Linked DNA regions of Oryctolagus cuniculus. The protein of the gene in region 1 interacts with the protein of each later gene in a pairwise test. Links are inferred from orthologs where the notes say so. Each region holds a gene or a part of one and is shown in the gene's direction. Other genes may lie near its edges. The genes, in order: CCDC102B, TRIM54 and POP5.

Evidence for each region.
Region 2: the proteins of CCDC102B (region 1) and TRIM54 interact in binary tests that used the Homo sapiens proteins (3 or more experiments, as listed by UniProt). The two-hybrid records come from large-scale screens. The link is inferred for Oryctolagus cuniculus from reciprocal best matches to the Homo sapiens genes CCDC102B and TRIM54.
Region 3: the proteins of CCDC102B (region 1) and POP5 interact in binary tests that used the Homo sapiens proteins (3 or more experiments, as listed by UniProt). The two-hybrid records come from large-scale screens. The link is inferred for Oryctolagus cuniculus from reciprocal best matches to the Homo sapiens genes CCDC102B and POP5.

What each region holds. Positions count from the first base shown.
Region 1 is NC_091441.1:9,986,293-9,993,065, reverse strand, and holds part of CCDC102B (coiled-coil domain-containing protein 102B), read left to right. Parts: intron 1-4,884; coding exon 4,885-5,487; intron 5,488-6,773. UniProt on the Homo sapiens protein: During interphase, forms fibers at the proximal ends of centrioles to maintain centrosome cohesion. During mitosis, dissociates from the centrosome following phosphorylation to allow centrosome separation. Contributes to CROCC/rootletin filament formation.
Region 2 is NC_091433.1:175,680,511-175,687,283, reverse strand, and holds part of TRIM54 (tripartite motif-containing protein 54), read left to right. Parts: intron 1-4,606; coding exon 4,607-4,779; intron 4,780-5,303; coding exon 5,304-5,475; intron 5,476-6,773. UniProt on the Homo sapiens protein: May bind and stabilize microtubules during myotubes formation.
Region 3 is NC_091452.1:16,599,365-16,606,237, reverse strand, and holds POP5 (ribonuclease P/MRP protein subunit POP5), read left to right. Parts: upstream 1-3,333; 5' UTR 3,334-3,461; coding exon 3,462-3,481; intron 3,482-3,567; coding exon 3,568-3,710; intron 3,711-5,249; coding exon 5,250-5,399; intron 5,400-5,548; coding exon 5,549-5,632; intron 5,633-5,733; coding exon 5,734-5,852; 3' UTR 5,853-6,074; downstream 6,075-6,873. UniProt on the Homo sapiens protein: Component of ribonuclease P, a protein complex that generates mature tRNA molecules by cleaving their 5'-ends. Also a component of the MRP ribonuclease complex, which cleaves pre-rRNA sequences.

The sequences.
Region 1 (6,773 bases):
CTAATGGCTCTGGCTAAAACTTCCGGGATTATATTGAATAGCAAATGTGAGAATGTGCATCCTTGTCTGGTTTTGGATGTTAATGTGCTGGCTGTGGGTTAGATTTTTATTTTTTTTTTATCACTGTGGAGTATGAATTAGACATTTGATGCTTCTTAAAGAAAATGAAAATCCAAGAAAATTTCATCTAAAATATTTTTCCTAACGGTTAAGGGAAAGCAATAACTATAAAAAATTAAAAATCCCTTTTGGACCCTTTTATTCTGCCTTAATAGTGTATCTTCTGACCAAAATGCTTTTCTTTCTGTTCCATTTCATCCTTCTGATAATGTTTGAACATCATGGGGATAGGCTTACGCTAACAAGTAACTACAAATATTCTGAATCACAATGTACTGTTTCTTTCCACAACTTTAGCTAAATTTTGTGATTATCCATTTGATTTGTTGTTTATAGCTACTAGCAATATCCTAGGATGGCAGAGTGATGTCCCTTTTGCTTACTATCACAGTATGCACAATGGTAGAAACTCTTCTTGGATGAAGGTCTTTGAGTTATACAGGACAGTCAGATGCTAATCAGGATGAGAATTCAGGGGGAGGCATGCTCCTGCTGGATGGACAGATTGCACAAGGGAGAATGTGGCAGAAAAGTAGATGGACACACCCAGGCTGGGGTAAGGCTTGGGCAGGGGAATTGGAATGACAGAGGGGAGTCTGGCAGAATGAATGGGCTCTAGACCTTGCCGTGGTTAAGTTGTGGTGAGGAGTTTGAATGAACACAAGGGTAGTGCCAGATCAACCAACTAATTGTTGTGAGATCAAATATTTAGCATAAAAGTATCCAAAATGGGAATAGAAGGCAATGTATACCATATTGTAGTGCCTAGGTTCAATTCTTACCTCTGTTTCCTAGTTCCAGCTTCTTTGTAATGTATACCCTGGGAAGCAGCAGGTGATGACTCAAGTAATTAGGTCCCTGACACCCACATAAGAGACCTAGATTGAGTTCCTGGCGGCAGCCTGAGGCACAGCCTTGGCGACTGTGGGGCATTTGAAAATATCAGCTGATGGAAGCTCTCTGTCTCTCTCTTGAAAAAATATCATATCTCCAAAATGGAACCAGTCAAACATATTTCTGAAATAATCTGAAAGCTTATCTCACAATCGTAAAAACTAGTATTGTTTTAAAGTTCTAGATTTTTGATATGGGGATGCAGTGGCTATGGATTCAAATTTCCTTAGTTCTCAAATCAACCATATATGCCCAAGGTGGATACATGAGTGCCCTATAGCCTGGTTTCCTCATCACTTGCACGACAGATATGATAATAGTAGTGAATATTCCACTGGCATGTGTTAACTGGCTTGTGTTTTATTGAGGGGCTGGCAGTGTGGCTTAGTGGGTTAAGCTGCTGCTTGCAGTGCCAGCATCCCATATGGGCACCGGTTTGAGTCCTGGCTGCTCCACTTTCGATCCATCGCTCTGCTATAGCCTGGGAAAGCAGTAGATGTCCTATGTCCTTGGGCCCCTGCACCTGCGTGGGAGACCTGGAAGTCACTCCTGGCTTCAGATCAGCACAGCTTCATCCATTGTGGCCATCTGGGGAGTGAACCAAAGGAAGGAAGACCTTTCTGCCTCTGCCTCTCTGTAACTCTGCCTTTCAAATAAAATAAATCTTAAAAAAAATTTTATTGAAATTGATAATTTTCTTTATTACCTGAAATTTTGAGTACTTTTATAAGTCTTATTTTTCTTTACATTTTTCTTACTTTTAAGTACCCTGTTTCTCTTTCAAAAGGCAGAAAAGAAACCGAAAATTACAAAATAGTAATATATTCTGAGATGATGCATTCATGACTCCTGGCACTAAGGAAAACTTTTGCCTTACCTGTGAGAGCCTGGACTAACCAATTAGTAGGCACTTTTCCATTCTCTAGTCAGAAATGTCTCCTTACAAATAAGGATATTATAATTTGTCTGTGACTATCTAAAATCAGAATATAAACCTAAGGCTCACCATCTTAGGCATCAGATTCCTGTCAGGGAAGAGACATTTAGTTATGTCATTTATCTATTCTTGATTCATTACATTTTATTTGTTTGGCTATCTACTATATTAAAAAAATTTGCCATCATAGCAGCCTGATTGCTATTAATATTTTTATAATGTAAAAAGCAGTGCAAAAACCAGAGTCAAGAGTATTAATATATTTTTGTAGACATCAAAGGCTTTGTGCTACAACCACTGGAAAATGCATTTATAGTCACCTGAAATAAAATTCAAAGAGTACACACAGATGTATAGGAAAGTGAGTAGTTTAATAAACACATATGCATCTTAAATATCCCCATCTCAAGAAAATTGTGCTTGCTTGAGGAAACTCTTTAGAACAGGAAATACTATTGAAGTTCAAGGACTGAATAATTAAACCCAAATCATTTTTATTTAGTCAGATGTGGAAAAAATACATAGTTAATTCTTAGGCAAGATCTCAATGTACCAGAATCCAATTATAGAGTCTTCTGAATACTGGTGGAATAAAAGTTAATGAGACATTTTAAATACATTACAATTTTATGATACTGATTTATTTTTGGAAAGTAGCAAGGATAAATTTAAATTTAATATGCTGTATTAAGTTCTCTGTATTCATTTTGGAATTCCAACAGTAAAAAATCATTACATACTGAATAGTGAACAGACTGACAGATGGATGGATAGATAGTATGTGTGTTTGTTATTTCTAGTTAAGATCACCTTTTATTCTTTTATATATCAGTCTTGCCTTAGTAATAAAACAAAGTTGGTAATTTATATTATCATTGTCCTCCAAATTACAGTAAATGGAAGAACAAAATTACTCATGTACCAAGGCTAACGAATATAATCACATCACGAGTCTGTTATTATAAGTGTTACAATAGTGAATTGATTTTACATCTCAAATTTGTTTAAAATGTTTTTTCAAAATAAAAATTTAATATTAACTTTCTGAAGTCTTTTAATTATGTGCTCATGAATCATAGTTTTAAAAACATTGTATAGTCTTTTATTCCAATAAATCAGGCTTATTATTATATACGTAGTTGATACAGTAGAACCATTCAGTTAGTTGTATAAGTAGATAGGTCCTAAGGAGGAAGTTATGATCTGTAATTACAAAAAAGAAAATAAAGTGAGAGGAATTTATGGCATGTGCATAAAATATTATCTAAGCTTTTTTTTAGATTAGAAAACTGTTTCTGGAAATAAAAATGAGTAAACCACAGGAATTTACTAATTTGTAAATTAACCCGTGTCTTTTAAGGAGTTACTTTAAAAGTTATGCTTGTTATGGTCTCAATATAGTTGTAGTGCTCTATTGAATAAAATAACAGGCATGCAAATTGATAATGATATGCATTCATATATTTGTGCTTTGGTATTTATAATGAAAGCTGATTTTAATTTCTCTACAAGGCTTTGAAAAAGCTAAGACTGCTCAGTGTTATCTCTATGGTGAAGGTGCCGCGTTTCTAGATGGCCCATTTCACCTTTAGCAGTACTCCTTAGATCACCCCAACATACCCTAAGATACCCTAAGAATCTGAGAATGACTTTAAATACATAAAGAGATTCAGTAAATATACCTTTTATAGTGTAAACTATGGATTTTTAAACTTGTGTATGCTTTATCTACTAAAGTTTTTGAGGACAAGGATCATGCCTCATTTATAACAACTTATTTTTGCAGTTCATAAGATTTTAACCATGTAGGAAATTAATTTGAGAATCAGATGTGGCTTTGACTATAAGTAACGGAAAACCTAACCATTGTGGCTCTAATAAATATGGATAACCCCTTTCACATGCTTCCACATGGCATAGACACCACGCGAGAGCTAGCTTGTTATGACTGCTTTCATCTTGATGTTCCAACTTAAGATTTATTTATAAGATAAATAAATTAGAATCAGCGTTAGAGAGAGCGAGTCTCCAATCACTGGTTCACTTCCCAAATGGCCACAATGGCCTGAGCTGGGCAGAGCCAAGGCCAGGAGCCAGGAGCTTCTTCAGGGTCTCCCACATGGGTGCAGGAGCCCAAGCACTTGGGCCATCTTTTGCTGCTTTTCCAGTGTGCATTAGCAAGGAGCTGGATCCGAAGCCAGGACTTGAGCCGGCACCCCTAGGGGAGGCTGGCACTGCAGGCAGGGGCTTACATGATACACTGCAGTGCTGGCCCCTTTTCTACCATTTTAAATATTATTAAATAGTTATGACAATCACCTTCTCCCAGAGCCATGTCCTTGTTTAGGCAGGAAAAAGAAATTGAGGAAAGAGGGTTTTTCATTCTAATGTTCTCCCAAGTAAACCTTGCCTTTCTTTAGCCTGATCCAGATCATGCATTTGTTTTGAGATTATCATATAGTTGTTGACATGGAGTCCATCAAGCAAAGTGTAGATTATTCATGATTTAGCCTCTGGGAATGGGATTCTCCTAGATGCCCTTAGAGTTTGCATTCTACCTGAACAAATCTGAGATTAGTTGCAGAGGAAAATGGGACTGTTGTACAGTTAACTGGTAATAAATGCTATAATTTTGTTTTGTAAGAAGAAATGTTACAAAAGATATAACTCGAATAGAATTTGATATTTTCTCAATTGCATCTTTATATAGTTATTTGTTCAGCAAAATTTAATATGAGAGATTGATTTTTTTTGTTAATTTGCTATTAGAGGAATAGATTCTTCTAAATCTTTAGTTACAACAGAAAAAAAAATATGCACAATTGAAAGATGCATTGTTTACATCAGATTTTTTTTTATTTTAATGTATTTCAATGCTCTTACAATTGTAAGGAAAATTCAAACGTGTAATTTTGTCCTCTGTTTTATCCTAGGCCTTAAACATAAACATGAATTTAGAGTCTATTCATCGACTAATTGAGGAAACACAAATCTTTCGGATGCAGCAGTCATCGATTCAATCCCGCTGTGACCCGTCAGCCCCTGCCTCGCCCCCCAGGGACACGTGGACGCCCTGCCCGCCTCTCCAGGGGCTGCAGCCTCAGGCCCCCCACCGTTTCTGCGCGCATCCACTGCACCCCAACGAGTGGGACGTGTGCGCGGAACTGCGCCTGCGGGAGCTGGAGGAAGTCAAGGCCAGGGCTGCCCAGATGGAGAAGACCATGCGCTGGTGGTCAGACTGCACGGCCACCTGGAGAGAGAAATGGAGCAAGGTTCGCGCGGAGCGGAACAGCGCCAGGGAGGAAGGACGGCAGCTCAGAATGAGACTGGAGCTGACGGTGAAGGAGCTGAGCGAGCTGCGGAAGAGACAGGGCGCGGCCCCTCAGAAGCAGCCCCCGGCCGCCCCCGCTCCCCTCGCTCCTCTGGCGTCCCGGGAACACGGAGATGAACCTGAAGTCGCTTCCCAAACGTGTGAGCGTGTGGGGGAGCGCCTGCTGAGAGGACAGCGCCGGACCCGGGAGACCGTGGGCAGTCGGGTGAGAAGGTCCTCCTGGGCCCGGCGCCGGTGGCGTGGTGGGTTAATCCTCCCCTGAAGCGCCGGATTCCCGTGTGAATGCCGGTTCGAGTCCCGGCGGCCCCTCTTCCCATCCAGCTCTCTGCTGTGGCCTGGGATAGCAGTAGATGATGGCCCAAGTCCTTGATCCAGCTCTCTGCAATGGCCTGGGATAGCAGTAGATGATGGCCCAAGTCCTTGATCCAGCTCTCTGCTGTTACCTGGGATAGCAGTAGATGATGGCCCAAGTCCTTGATCGAGCTCTCTGCTATGGCCTGGGATAGCAGTAGATGATGGCCCAAGTCCTTGATCCAGCTCTCTGCTGTGGCCTGGGATAGCAGTAGATGATGGCCCAAGTCCTTGATCCAGCTCTCTGCTGTTACCTGGGATAGCAGTAGATGATGGCCCAAGTCCTTGATCGAGCTCTCTGCAATGGCCTGGGATAGCAGTAGATGATGCCCCAAGTCCTTGATCCAGCTCTCTGCTGTGGCCTGGGATAGCAGTAGATGATGGCCCAAGTCCTTGATCCAGCTCTCTGCAATGGCCTGGGAAAGCAGTGGAGGATGGTCCAAGTCCTTGATCCAGCTCTCTGCAATGGCCTGGGATAGCAGTAGATGATGGCCCAAGTCCTTGGGCCCCTGCACCCGCGTGGGAGACCCGGAAGAAGCACCTGGCTCCTGGCTTCCCATCGGCACAGGTCCCAACATTGCGGCCATTTGGGGGTGAACTAGCGTACAGAAGACCTCTCTCTCCCTCTCACTGCCTGTAACTCTGCCTCTCAAATAAATACAATCTTTAAAAAAAAAAGTTGCTCTGAGGAACCAGGGGATACCTGCATTTTTGAAGGCCTTCCATAGTGATGAGAAAGGGGAGGTGACGAGGCATTGGTTACCGTGTTCGCTTGCTAGGGCAGTTGTGAGGAATGATTTTTTTTTCTTCGTAACTATTTGTTGACCTCTTAGTGTAGGGTTAATCTTATGAGCATAAAGTTAACTGAAAATAGATCTTAGTAAAAAGAGTGAGAATAGAAGAGGGAGAAGGAAGAAAAGTGGAAGTGTGGGAGAGAGGAAGAGTGGTGGAAGGAAGGGTAGGGTGGAATAATCCCTAAATTCCTAAATTTGAGACGTGAAATATGTGAAGTTTGTACACTTTAAGTAAAAGGTTTCTAGGTTAAAAAAAAAAAAAGTACCAGCTCCTGGGTGGTCTTAGCATCAGAAATGTGGGTATTCAGGTTTTTTTTTTTTTTTTTTTTTTTTTTTTTAAAGATTG
Region 2 (6,773 bases), on another chromosome or scaffold:
CGCTCTCTCTCCTTCTCTCTCTGTATCTCTGCCTTTCAGCTAAATACATAAATCTTAAAAAAAAAAAAAAAAAAAAAAAAAAAAAACAGAAAGCTGAAACGGAGTGGAGTCAGGACTCGAACCCAGGCAGTGTGAAAAGGAATGCAGGTGAACCGACCCGCAGCTTAACCACTGCACAGAATGCCTGAGCCCACCCCATTCTTCCTAACTGAAGAAGAGCATTCCATGGGATTGATTGCCGCTCTTCATGTAGTGGGAACACCTTTTTCTGCATAAACGGTGGTGATCTTTGTATTTTGTAATTTGGATCCCTGGGCTTGCTCCCAAAGTGGAATTACAAGATCATTGCTGTAGTTCCTGTCTTTCACGGTGTCTCGTCCCAGTAAGCTCTTTAAAACACTCTTGAACGTGATAGTTAAATGTAGTAAATAACAACGTGGGGTGGGAACAGAGGAGCAAGGCAAGGACGGGGGAGGAGAGAAGCCACAGGGTCGCTGGGCCGACTTGGAGGAATTTGCCTATCAGCACACACTCAGGCTGCTTGAGATGGGGTTTCAGGCACTGCCTACGACGGACGGTAGAGGGCGCTCCAGACACAGCCAGCGGGCAGCACCCAGGCGGGGTGACACACTAGACGGCCAGACAGGTGGTGGCAGCCTCCAGGTGTGAGATGGGAGGATTTGACAGAAACCACCAACTCCCTTCCCCACCCCACGTGCACATCTCGCAGCAGCTGCTGGGCGCATCTGAACTTCTTGTTGTAGTTCTTTCCACAAAGGCTCAGTGACCCAGTTCACAAGCACAGGTTATAGCTGAGGAATTGGGGGCTCCAAGAGAAGTGACTTACCCAAGGTCGCACAGAGCAGGGCCACGGCCTTCTCAGCAGTGCTACCTCCCTCCTTTGGCTGCGTTAAATGCCCAATGTTAACACACAGAGGTGGGGGCTGGCGCTGCCGCGTAGTGGGTCAAGCCTCCGCTTCCAGTGCCAGCATCCGACACAGTTCAAGTCCCGGCTGCCCCACTTCCGATCCAGCTCCCTGCTAATGCGCCTGGGAAAGCAACAGTGGATGGCCCAAGTGCTTGGGCTCCTGCACCTACTTGGGAGACCCGGATGAAGTTCCTGGCTCCTGGCTTTGGCCTGGCCCACCCCAGGCCATTGCAGCCGTTTGGGGAATGAACCAGCAGATGGAAGATTTTCTTTCTTTCTTTCTTTCTTTCTTTCTTTCTTTCTTTCTTTCTTTCTTTCTTTCTTTCTCTCTCTCTCTCTCTCTCTCTCTCTCTCTCTTTCTCTCTCTCTCTCTCTCTCTCTCTCTCTCTCTCTCCTCTCTCCTCTCTCCTCTCTATCTCTGTATCTCTGCCTTTCAAATAAATAAATCTTAAAAACACACACACACAGAGATGGTACCAAGGAGAAACAGCTTTATCCACACATCCAGGATAGATGCTTTTTTAAAAAAAAAGATTTATTTATTTATTTGAAAGTCAGAGTTACACAGAGAGAGGAGAGGCAGAGAGAGCGCGAGGTCTTCCATCCGCTGATTCACTCCCCAATTGGCTGCAACGGCCAGAGCTGCGCCGATCTGAAGCCAGGATCCAGGAGCTCCTTCCAGGTCTCCCACGCGGGTGCAGGGGCCCAGGGACTTGGCCCATCTTCTACTGCTCTCCCAGGCCACAGCAGAGAGCTGGATTGGAAGTGGAGCAGCCAGGACTCGAACCAGAGCCCATATGGGATGCTGGCCCTGCAGGCCCAGACTATAACCCACTGCGCCACAGCGCCGGCCCCTGGATGCTTTTCTGAAGTGAAAGGTTGGGGACAGCAGTCCCACAAACTGTGACAGGAGAGGGATTCATTCGCACCTCTCCTTCCTGACTTTGGCCATAGCTGCAGACCCATACCTGGAGAATGATTTAACATTTGCATTTTTTAAGCAATGTCTTCTCTATCCTTACCCTAAGCAATAACATCCAGGAAAAAAATCCCCAGTCTTACAGGCGTTTTTCCCTAACCTGCATCAGAATAAACTCATACAGACCCTCGATGTCCCTGCTGCCACCCGCCACAGTCTTCCTATCGCTCACAGCAGGTGGCTCCATGCTTTGGGAAGCACAGTGAAGGGCTCCAGGCGACGTGAGTCTCGCACCACGCACCGGGCAGCCCTGGAAAGTCCCAGAGATCAGCTTTACTATTTTGTTGCCAGGCAAATGTAGTCCTGGGAGCAAAGTGCACGTGTGTGTGTGTGCACGTGCGTGCGTGTGTGTGTGTGCCAGAGACTGGCAAAAAAGTAGGGCTGGGAGTCGGGCGGAGGCAACTGAAGCTGTCTCAGAAGGGGCAGCCAGGCCGGGCCCAGGGGGGCCGCGGGACCAGGGGCCGGAAGGCCACATGGGAGACGCTGGCCCGTGGTGCCGCGCTGAGCCAGGCCGCAGAGAAGGCCAGGGTGCAGGCCCTCCTGCCCCGTGCCCGCACTCACCTGTGTGCGCTCGGCTTCCTGCTTCCTCTCCCGCAGAGAAAGGCTCTTGCAGCACAGGCCTTGGGGTGGGCTGCCCGCGGAATGAGGGCGTCTCGGCCTCCCGGCTTCCAGGATTAGCCGCTGCGAGGAGCGAGGAGCGTTTAGGAAACTTCTTTAGTGTGGGGGGTGCTGGGGAGAGGCACGTGCTGCCTCGGCTGTGGGTCCTGGCAGCGGGGAATGAGCGGCAGCCCCAGGGGCTGAGGATCCCCCACTCCTGGTTCCCTCTGTTCCCTCTGTGAAAGTTGCGGTAAAAAGCACAGAACGTGAAATTGAACTGTTTTCAAAGTCTTACTATTTTATTGTTATCTATTTGAAAGGCAGTGAGAGGCCGGCACCGCAGCTCACTAGGCTAATCCTCCGCCTGCGGCGCCGGCACACCGGGTTCTAGTCCCGGTCGGGGCGCCGGATTCTGTCCAGGTTGCCCCTCTTCCAGGCCAGCTCTCTGCTGTGGCCCGGGAGTGCAGTGGAGGATGGCCCAAGTGCTTGGGCCCTGCACCCCTTGGGAGACCAGGAGAAGCACCTGGCTCCTGGCTTCAGATCAGCGCGGTGCGCCGGCAGCGGCGGCCATTGGAGGGTGAACCAATGGTAAAGGAAGACCTTTCTCTCTGTCTCTCTCTCTCACTGTCCACTCTGCCTGTCCAAAAAAAAAAAAAAAGAAAAAAAAGGCAGTGAGGGTGTGCCAGCGCTGTGGCGCAGCGGGTTAATGCCCTGGCCTGAAGCGCCGGCATCCCATATGGGCGCTGGTTTGAAACCTGGCTGCTCCACTTCCGATCCAGCTATCTACTATGGCCTGGGAAAGCAGTGGAAGATGGCCCAAGTCCTTGGGCCCCAGAAGAAACTCCTGGTTCCTGGCTTTGGATTGGCGCAGCTCCGGCCGTTGTGACCAATTAGGGAGTGAACCAGTGGATGGAAGACCTCTCTCTCTCTGCCTCTCCTCTCTCTGTGTAGCTCTGACTTTCAAATAAATAAATCAATCTTAAAAAAATAAGAGGAAGAAAGACAGAGAGAGAGACAGAGCTCTTCCATCCGCTGGTTGACTGCTCAGGTACCAGGATTTGTTTCCGTCACAGACGAGCAGGCCGTTCTGGTGGGAAGGAGCCCTTTGGCGCTCTGTGGGACACCTGGCCTTGACACCTGGGTTGCCTTTTCTTTATCTTTGCTTCAGTAACGTCCATCTAGAGTTGCATCACCGATTTTTAGGCTGTAGCCTTTTCCCTCTGTGAAGGGTGTTGATGCTCAGTCATCCCAGGGCAAGCATTTGGCACAGTGGTTAAGTCGCCACCTGGGACGTCCACATATGGGCAGGTGCCTGACCCCACTTCCGATCCCACTCCATGCTGGAGTGCACTCTGAGAGGCAGCAGAGCACGGCTCGAGTGCGAGGGTCTCTGTCATCCACGTGGGGGACCTTCATGGAGTTCTGGGCTCCTGGCTCTGGCCTGGCCCACTCCTGGCTGTTGGGGGCATTCGCGGCGTGAGCCCGTAGATGGGCGCTCTCTCTCCATCTGTGTTTCTCTCACTCTGTGTTTAACATGAAATGCAGTTTGTTTTCATTTGAAAACCTTTGCCTCTGCCTAAGACTCAGAGACACGTGTTAGCGCTGGACATCACCTTCAGTTAGCCCAAGCTGTATTGTATCTGACCGTGTAGTGTAATGACCGCTAGGGCAGGGGATGCCACTGCGGCGTAGTGGGTAAAGCCGCCGCCTGCAGTGCTGGCATCACAAATGGACGACAGTTTGAATCCCAGCTGCTCCACTTCCGATCCAGCTCTCAGCTACGGTCTGGCTCCGAGCCCCTTTCCTACCCCAGCTTTTCCTGTAGAGGCCAACATCTCCCCATCGCTCCAAACTGGACCCCTCGGTAGAGACCCCATCGTGGCTGGGCCCTGACAAGAGCTAGGCTATGGAGTTGAACACTTACAGAGCCAGGCTGGGTGACGAGGCGGGGCCCAGGAACTCCATGGCCACCCGCCTGCCGGAGCTGCCCCGCCCTGCCTCATTCTCCTCCTCCTCCTGCGCCCTCACCACCTTCACCCCTGCTTCCCTCAGTCCTCGCACACCTCGCCGTGCCCGCCTTCTCACAACACCCATCCCTACAGGCCTCCAACCCTCTGTGGCAATCCCGGGGCTCCAGCACCGTGTCTTCAGGAGGCCGCTTCCGCTGCCCATCTTGCAGGCACGAGGTTGTCCTGGACAGACACGGGGTCTATGGCCTGCAGAGGAACCTGCTCGTGGAAAACATCATCGACATCTACAAGCAGGAGTCCTCGCGGTGAGCCGTCAGGGCCGCGTGTGCCGCCTGGGGCACGGCCTGGGGGCTCCGTGGGGGGGGGGGGGCTGTGGAATCAGGCGATCTGCTCCTTCGGTTTGGGGATGCAAGGATGGGCCCAGAGGAGGCAGGGGCTTGCCCCCGGCCACCCAGAGAGGCCAGGCCTCCCTGCCCCACCCAGGCCCAGGTTTCCCCTCTCCCCTCTCATATCTGCTGTCCCGTGGGGCTCCCAGGGCCCCCGAAATGCAGTCTCTTTTCGGATCCACGCCTCCTCCACCTCTTAAGTCCTTCTGTTCTCCAAATTAAGAGCCCCATGGAAGTCACTCACCCACCCAGCAGCACCCACGGCAGGGGCAGGGAAGGTGCTGGTGATTGGTGGAGCTGAAGAGAAGGTGTTGAGGGGCCCCACACGCACGGGCGCTCCTCAGGGGCTGGCACCTGGCCCTCCCTGCCACCCAACCTGCTTGGGTGCTCCCTGGGGCCTGGCCCCTGACCCCGCCACCTCGCCCCTGTGCGCTCCTCTCCAGGCCACTGCACTCCAAGGCCGAGCAGCACCTCATGTGCGAAGAGCATGAGGACGAGAAGATCAACATCTACTGCCTGAGCTGCGAGGTGCCCACCTGCTCCCTCTGCAAGGTCTTCGGGGCCCACAAGGACTGCGAGGTGGCCCCGCTGCCCACCATTTACAAACGCCAAAAGGTATCCAGCAGGGAGGGAGTAGAGGGTTGGGGACCAGGACTGGGTCGGCCTCTTATTCCGCTTGGTTTTATTTATTTTAGTTTCATTGCCAAAGCCAAGAAACAAACATGGATCACCCATCTTCTGGTTCACTCTCCAAATGCCTGCAATGGCCAGGGTTGGGCCAGGCTGAAGTCAGGAGCCCAGAATTCAATTGAGATCTCTCACGTGGGTGGCGGGGACCCAAATACTTGGTTTGTCACCTGCTGCCTCCCAGGAATGCACCAGCAGGAAGCTGGAATTGGAAGCAGAGATGGAAATGGAACCCAGGCACTCCAATATGGGATGTGGGCATCCCATGCGGCATCTTTGCTGTGCCAAAAATCTGCCCCATCGCTTGGTTTTAAGTCAAGATCAGGATCAACATTGTGGTGCAGCAGGTTAAGCCACTACCTACAATGTCAGCATCCCATATGGGCACCAATTTGAGTCCTGGCTGCTCCACTTCGGATCCAGCTCCCTGATAATGTGCCTGGAAAAGCAGCTGAATACAGCCCAAGTGCTTGGGCCCCTGCACCCACATGAGAGACCCGGATGAAGCTTCTGGCTCCGGGCTTTGGCCTGGCTCAGTTCCAGCTGTTGCAGCGATTTGGGGAGTGAACCAGCAAATGGAAGATTTCTCTCTTCCCCCCTCCCACCCCGTAACTCTGCCTTTCAAATAAATAAGTCTTTTAAAAAAGCATAAAGAGATATCCTCCATCCACTGATTCACTCCCCAGATGGCTACAACAGACCCTACTGGGCCAGGCTAAAGCCAGGAGCCTCCGACATGGAGGAAGGGGCCCAAGCACCTGGGCCATCTTTTTTTCTTTCTTTCTTTCTTTCTTTCTTTCTTTATTTTTTTAAAGATTTATTTATAAGTCAGCTACACAGAGAGAGAAGGAGAGGCAGAGAGAGAGAAAGGTCTTCCATCCACTGCTTCACTCCCCCAGCAGGCTGCAATAGCTGGAGTTGCTTGATCTGAAGCCAGGAGCTTCTTCCAGATCTTCCCACCAGGGTGCAGGGGCCCAAGGACTTGGGCCATCTTCTATTGCTTTCCCAGGCCACAGCAGAGAGCTGGATTGGAAGTGGAGCAGCCGGGACTTGAACCAGCACCTATGTGGGGTGCCAGCGTCACAGGTGGCAGCTTTACCTGCCATGCCACAACACTGGCTTCTGATCATGCATTTTTGACAAAGAATCAAATAAAGCTTTTAGAAATAGAAACATGGGGCCAATACTGTGGCGTAGTGGGCTGAACCTCCACCTGCAGCACCAGC
Region 3 (6,873 bases), on another chromosome or scaffold:
CTGTAGGCATTTGAGGAGGAACTAGCAAATGGGAGTTTAAAATTTTCAAAGAGCACTTGTAATGATGACACTAAAACAGCGACTTTCCCACAGATCCTCAGTGGATGTGAACCCGCGAAGGGCACCTGCTCACGGGTCACACACAGCCGGCATCGGCCTGGAGCCCACCGGACTCCGCTCCATTCACCTCCCGAGGCCCAGGCCGCGCCGGCACTGAGGCGGGATAATCTCAGCCCCGTGGCATTGGCGTTCCGGGGGCGGCACGGAGCACGCAGCCGCCCCTCCACGCCTCCGCGGGCGGATTCCCCCGCGGCCTCCCGCGCGGCGCGCGGCGGGGACCCCGGTGATTGCCAGCAGCCGCCGGCCTCATTAGGAGACGTGTAATTAGCGGCTGGCGGAGCCTGAGCCCGCGCCGGCGCGGGCTAATTACCGCGGGAGCTGGCTGCCAGGGCCGCAGTGTTTCCTCCGGGGCTGTGCGTGAGCCCGAGGAGTCAATCGTTCGTTCGGAACAGAGTGCTTACCGCGCGCTCCCTGGGCCAGGTGCTTAACTCCCATTTCCTGGTCATTTCCAGTCGGAGGAACCTTTATTATCCTATTGCACAGACGAGGAAACTGAGGCCTGGAGGAGCGGCTCAACCTCCCTGAGGACTCCTGGTAGGGATTCGAACCCGCGGCGGTCCTACCGTGCAGACGACATCAGCCAGCGCTCGAGTCGGATGGCTGTGGGTTCGAGTCCCGAACCTGCTCCTTGACGCCCACTCGTGACCGTGGTCTGAATCCCAACTGTGTCTACAAAATGCGCGCGTCGCTAGGATTGACAGGCTGAAAACTTCAGGAGTGCTTTGAGGCTGGTCCTGCGGGGTCCACGCACTGCGGGCCTCCGACGCCCTCTGCGGGCCGCAAGACGATGTTTCCGGGTGAGGCGCGGGGCACGCCTCCTCCCTCCCTCCCTCAGCTTCCCTCCTTTAAGGTGACAAGAGTGGGAGATGGGAAGGCTAAGAACTCCTTCTAGACCTGGCAAATAGTCGGCTGTGAAAGGTGCTTCCCCTCATGGACCTCGCAGGGCCAGCCAAGGGCATGGGCATCAGTGACCTAGCTCCAAGGCATGCATCAAAGCATTGAGTCTACGAGAAAACCTGGAAGTAATTTATACAGCCATCAACAGGATACTGATGGCCGGCGTTGTGCCCTCGTGGGTACAGCACCAGATCCAACACTGTGAGGCCGGCATCCCTTGTGGGCGCCGGTTCGAGTCCCAGCTGCTCCACTTCCCTTCCAGCTCCCTGCTAATGCCCCTGGGAAAGCAGTGGAAGACGGTCCAAGTGCTTGGACCCCTGCACCGACTTGGGAGATCAGGAAGCAGCTCCTGGCTCCTGGCTTCAGACAAGCCTGGCTCCAGCCATTGCAGCCATTTGGGGAGTGAACCAGCAGATGAAGACCTCTCTCTCTCTCTCAAGCTCTGCCTTCCAAATAAATTAATTAATTTTACAAAAAAAGGCTATTCCTCCGCCTGCGGCACCAGCACACCAGGTTCTAGTCCCGGTCGGGGCGCCGAATTCTGTCCCGGTTGCCCCTCTTCCAGGCCAGCTCTCTGCTGTGGCCAGGGAGTGCAGTGGAGGATGGCCCTAGTCCTTGGGCCCTGCACCCCATGGGAGACCAGGAGGAAGCACCTGGCTCCTGGCTTCGGATCAGCGCAGCGCGCCGGCCGGAGTAGCCACTTGGGGAGTGAACCAACGGAAAGAAGACTTTTCTGTCTCTCTCACTATCTTACTCTGCTTGTCAAAAAAAAAAAAAAAAAAAAAAAAAGAATCTTTTAATTACTGAGTTAAAGAAATCAGACACAAAAGAAAACATGCTGTAGATTTATTGGAAGTTCACCCACAGGCAAAACTAACTGGTCCTGGTGGAAGTCGGAACAGTGGCTGTTTCTGGTAAGAGTTCTGACTGGGACTCGGGGAAACGTCTCAGGTTCTGGAAATGCTTTCTCCACCGGAATGTGGGTGACAGGTACACGAGTCTCTAGGAATTCGCTGAGAGGTGCTATACTTCCAATTTTTTTTTTTTTTTTAAGATTCATGGGGAAAACAATTTCTCAGCCTTGCTCCATCCTCAGCGAGGAATAGATTTTTATTTAAAGATTTATTTTATTTATTTGAAAGACAGAGTTACAGAGAGAGGTAGAGACAGATAGAGGTCTTCCATCCAATGGTTCACTCCTCAGATGACCACAACAGCTGGAGCTCCGCCGATCCGAAGCCAGGAGCTTCTTCCAGGTCTCCCATGTGGGTGCAGGGGCCCAAGCACTTGGGTCATCTTCCACTGCTTTCCCAGGCCATAGCAGAGAGCTGGATCGGAAGTGGAGCAGCCAGGACATGAACCAGCACCAATATGGGATGCCAGTGCTTCAGCCCAGGGCTTTAACCCACTGCACCACAGCCGGCGCCAACAAGAGAGAAATTTAAAAATATTCAAGTGAAAAGGAAAAAGTGCTTGACAGTATGACCCACGATGCTTACAAAGAAAATAAAAGGAAAAACACCACTTCACATGGGCACAATTCTCAAAAGCCGCTCTCTGCCTCACGACCTCTTTACACTCTTAAATTACTGAGGATTCCGAAGCGCGTCTGTTTTTGCGCTGATAACTATCAATGTCTACCTCAGAGATTAAAACTAAAAACTGTTTAAAACACAATAGACGATTTCATCAGCCCTCAGAGCGGCGATGCCAGATACCATGTGGCTTCTGGAAAACTCTACGGTCTACTCTGAGAGGGTGAAGAAGGCAAACTGACATCTTACTACACTTATTAATATTATTATAATTAATAATCCCGAGTCTCCCTGAATGAGTGGGAATTCCGTGGGAGAACTGCGGGCACAGGGGGAAACCACGGAAGAAACTACGTGATAAGCGGCTCTCTCAGTCCTGCGGTTACAGCGGAAAATACAATGACAACAGTTTTTGCAAACAAACAAAAAAAGGTGACAAAGCACCCATCTCCACAAAACTGTTGAAAGGCCCAAAGAGTAACAGCATATTTGAGTGGAAGAATTAAACCGCGCTCTAACCTGAAGTGTCCGATTTGCTGTGTGTCAGTCCCTGTGCTTCAGCCTGGAGTATAAATGCGTGTGTGACCGCGCCCTCAGGCGCCGGGCGCCCCCGACGCCGGCCGCCTCCTACACTGTGAACCGCGAGGGACCGCCCATCGCAGCCCCGAGTCCAGCCCCCAAACCACAACCTCCCGGGACGGCAAAAGGACGCATGCGCTCTTACAAAGGCCGTCGGAGGCGGAGCTTGAGGGAGACTGACACGGAGCTTGGCCTCTCAATTTTCTAGCACCGCCCTCCTCTCCTGGCTCCCTCTCGGAGTGGCTGCAAGGTGGCGAAGGCAAACTTCCCATTGGCCGCAGGACACCGACATCCGGTGAGCCCTTCGGGAAGGCGGGCCCCGCGGCAGCCATGGTGCGGTTCAAGCACAGGTAAGCGGCTCCTTGCGCACCCTCAGAGCCACCCCCGGTCTCCCCGGCCCCGGCTCGCGCGCTCACCCCCATGTGGCCTGCGGCAGGTACCTGCTCTGCGAACTGGTGTCCGACGACCCCCGCTGCCGCCTGACTCTGGAGGACCGAGTACTGGTCGGCCTGATTCGGGACACGATCGCCCGGGTGCACGGGACCTTCGGCGCGGCCGCCTGCTCCATCGGTTTCGCAGGTGCGAGGGCGCGGGGGCAACCCGGACGGACGGCGGGATTTGGAAGGAGCAGGCGCTGGAGGAGGGAGGAAGAAGTGGCACGAGCGAGCCCTGGAGAGGCCAAGCCCGGGCGCACCCTTCGGTCGTGGGAGGTCCACACGAGTCCGAAATTAGGCAGAGCTAAAGCAGGGGCCCGCAGGCAGTGGGACTTCGGGCAAAACCCTGTGTGGCGTCTGCATATTGGGGCTTGTTAGTGAACTTAACATAGTTAAATGAGTAAAGTCGTATATAGTTCCTAGGCAGAGCCATTATTTGACCGATTACATTGACATCACATGGGAAAAAGCAGGTCGTAATTACCTCAGAAAAGCCCTTAATAGTAACGTACAGCCCACGATTGGGTACAAGTTCCGTGCAGGATAGACAGGCACCAAAAAAGGCTGTTCGCCCTCCGGACTACTCCAGCATTTAGTTCCTTTTACCGTGAACTCATAGGGTCCTGGAGAATCAAGTGCACGGAGGTGACCTCTTGCCATCAGGTGAGACCCGCTGGCGGCCACAGGAGCCTGCAGAGCCCAACGGCAGTAAAACAGCCCGTTTATTAGACGAGGGCTTTTTTTTATATATACATATTATATATGTGTGTATTATATATAATATATATTATAAATATATATATTTGACAGAGTTATAGACAAGTGAGAGAGACAGAGCAAGGTCTTCCTTCCGTTGGTTCACCCCCAAATGGCTGCCACGGCCGGCGCTGCACCCATCCGAAGCCAGGAGCCAGGTGCTTCCTCCTGGTCTCCCATGCGGGTGCAGGGCCCAAGGACTTGGGCCATCCTCCACTGGACTCCCGGGCCACAGCAGAGAGCTGGCCTGGAAGAGGGGCAACCGGGACTAGAACTGGCACCCATATGGGATGCTGGCGCCACAGGCAGAGGATTAACCAAGTGAGCCACAGTGCCGGCCCCCAGACGAGGGCTTTTGTTTTTAAAAATGTATTTATTTGAAAGTCAGAGAGGGAGACCTCTTCCATCCCTTGGTTCACTCCCCAAATGGCAGCAATGAAACTAGAGCTTCTTCGACATGGGTGCAGGGGCCCAAGCACTTGGGCCATCTTCCTCTGCTTTCCCAGGTGCATTAACAGGGAGCTGGATTGGAGGTGAAGCAGCCAGGTCTTGAACCAGTGTCCATACGGGATGCTGGTGTCCCAGGCTTCACCTGCCACACTGCAAGGTTGGCCCCGACAAGGGTTTTTTTTCATGCTGAAACATCATCTCCCCCTCCTCCCAGTAAAGTCACTGAATAGAACAGCATTTTAGATTCTCGATTCATTTACCAATTCTAAGTGATGTGCAAGGCCTTGGTGGTTATCCTCATTCCATAAATGAAGGTCTCGTCTGAAGTTTTTCTTTAGGAGTCTGTTTTTCCTCAGTGATGCATCCCAAGTGCCATTTGTCTAGAACAGTCCCTGGCACAAAGCAGGCTCCGTTACCCTAAGGCTTCTAACCACCTGTGAATCCGAAGTTTTCCAAAATGATCTCTCCCCTGCTGTAGTTCGATACCTCAATGCTTATACCGGAATAGTGCTGCTTCGATGCCGAAAGGAATTCTACCGGCTGGTGTGGTCAGCGCTTCCCTTCATCACGTATTTGGAGAGCAAAGGACACCGTTACCCTTGTTTTTTCAACACGTTACACGTGGGAGGTAGGCATGCATGTAGTGCATTTGCTGAATCTTAAGTGACAGACTCAGCATTTACCTTGACTGCTCGCGTGCTGAGAGAGAATTCCTCCTAGCTCTGTCTGTAAAGCAGACATTCACAAGCTGTTGACTCCATGTCTTTCATGTGCCAGGTACAATCAGAACATGTCAGAAGTTCCTGATTCAGTACAACAGGCGACAGCTGTTGATCTTGTTACAGAACTGCACTGATGAAGGTAAGCAACAGTAGCCCAGTGCCCACTGAGCAGTGACCAGCGGGCTGCCCTCGTGCAGAGAGATTGCTCGAAGACATTTATTCTGCTCTGCCTCTTTCCAGGAGAGCGGGAAGCTATCCAGAAGTCAGTGGCGAAGAGCTGTTTACTAGAGGAGTCATCTGAAGAGGAAGGGGCTTCCGACAGCGGAGGTGAGGAAGCTGCTGAAGCAATGGCGTCGTGAACTGCTCAGACTGGGTGGCAGCCAGCCAGGGCTCGATTTTCCAGCGTGAACTGGAGGCCACACTCACCTGAAACCCTGGAGTTGCTTTTACAGAGTGTTTCTGGTTAAGTGGTTCTGCGGGTTGTAAAGGCTCTACACTTGTGGATAGTCTTGTATCTAATTACTTGTCTAATTTGGTTTCTATAGCATTGAGCATAATAACAAAAGGGCTTATACACTTCATGCTTGGCCAAGTCTCCTCTTGCATTTACCCTGGCTTTGGTGGGAAGACTGCTCCTATGTGACACTACATTAAAATATTTTTAAAAGATATGAAAGGCAAAGAAAGATCTCCCATCCACTGACTCCCCAAATGGCTTCAACAGCCAGAGCGAGCCAGGCCAAAACCAGAAGCCAGGAGCTGCATCCCAGTCTTCTGCATGGGTGACAGGGGCCCGAGTACTTGGGGTATCCCCCACTGCACACTAGTGCAGGGAACACATTAGTAGGGAGCCAGAACTGAAGTGGAACAGCTGGGACTTGAAATGGCACACCCCAACACCAGATGAATTTTGAATATTTAGCTTTCCACGTGTAGCCCTAGATAAAAGAGCTCATTTGGAATAGAAATGTGAAGAGACATAGCAACCAGCTTGTACAGATCCATAGTCTCAGTAATGATCCAAATACCTTAGAAATATCAAATTCCTTGCTAGCACCTAAGCAGCTGACTCTGAAAAAAAAAAAAAAAAAAAAAAAAATTGCAGCTTTTGCACTTTTGTGGCATAGGCTGGCCTCACCTGACTTCACTGCCAGGCTGGGAATTTTCTGTAGTTCCACCCATTCTTATTTCCTTACACCTGAAGACAGGTAACTGCCACACTCACAGGCATCAGACCAAAGGACTTTTAACCAGCTCTGTCCTGCTACCTCATGACATTTCTTGGCTGTTTTCTCCATAATAAAATGATGTCATTCAAAGGTCCCTCAGTCACAAAGTTGGGTTTTTTAAGGTTTATTCATTTTACTTGAAAGTCACAGT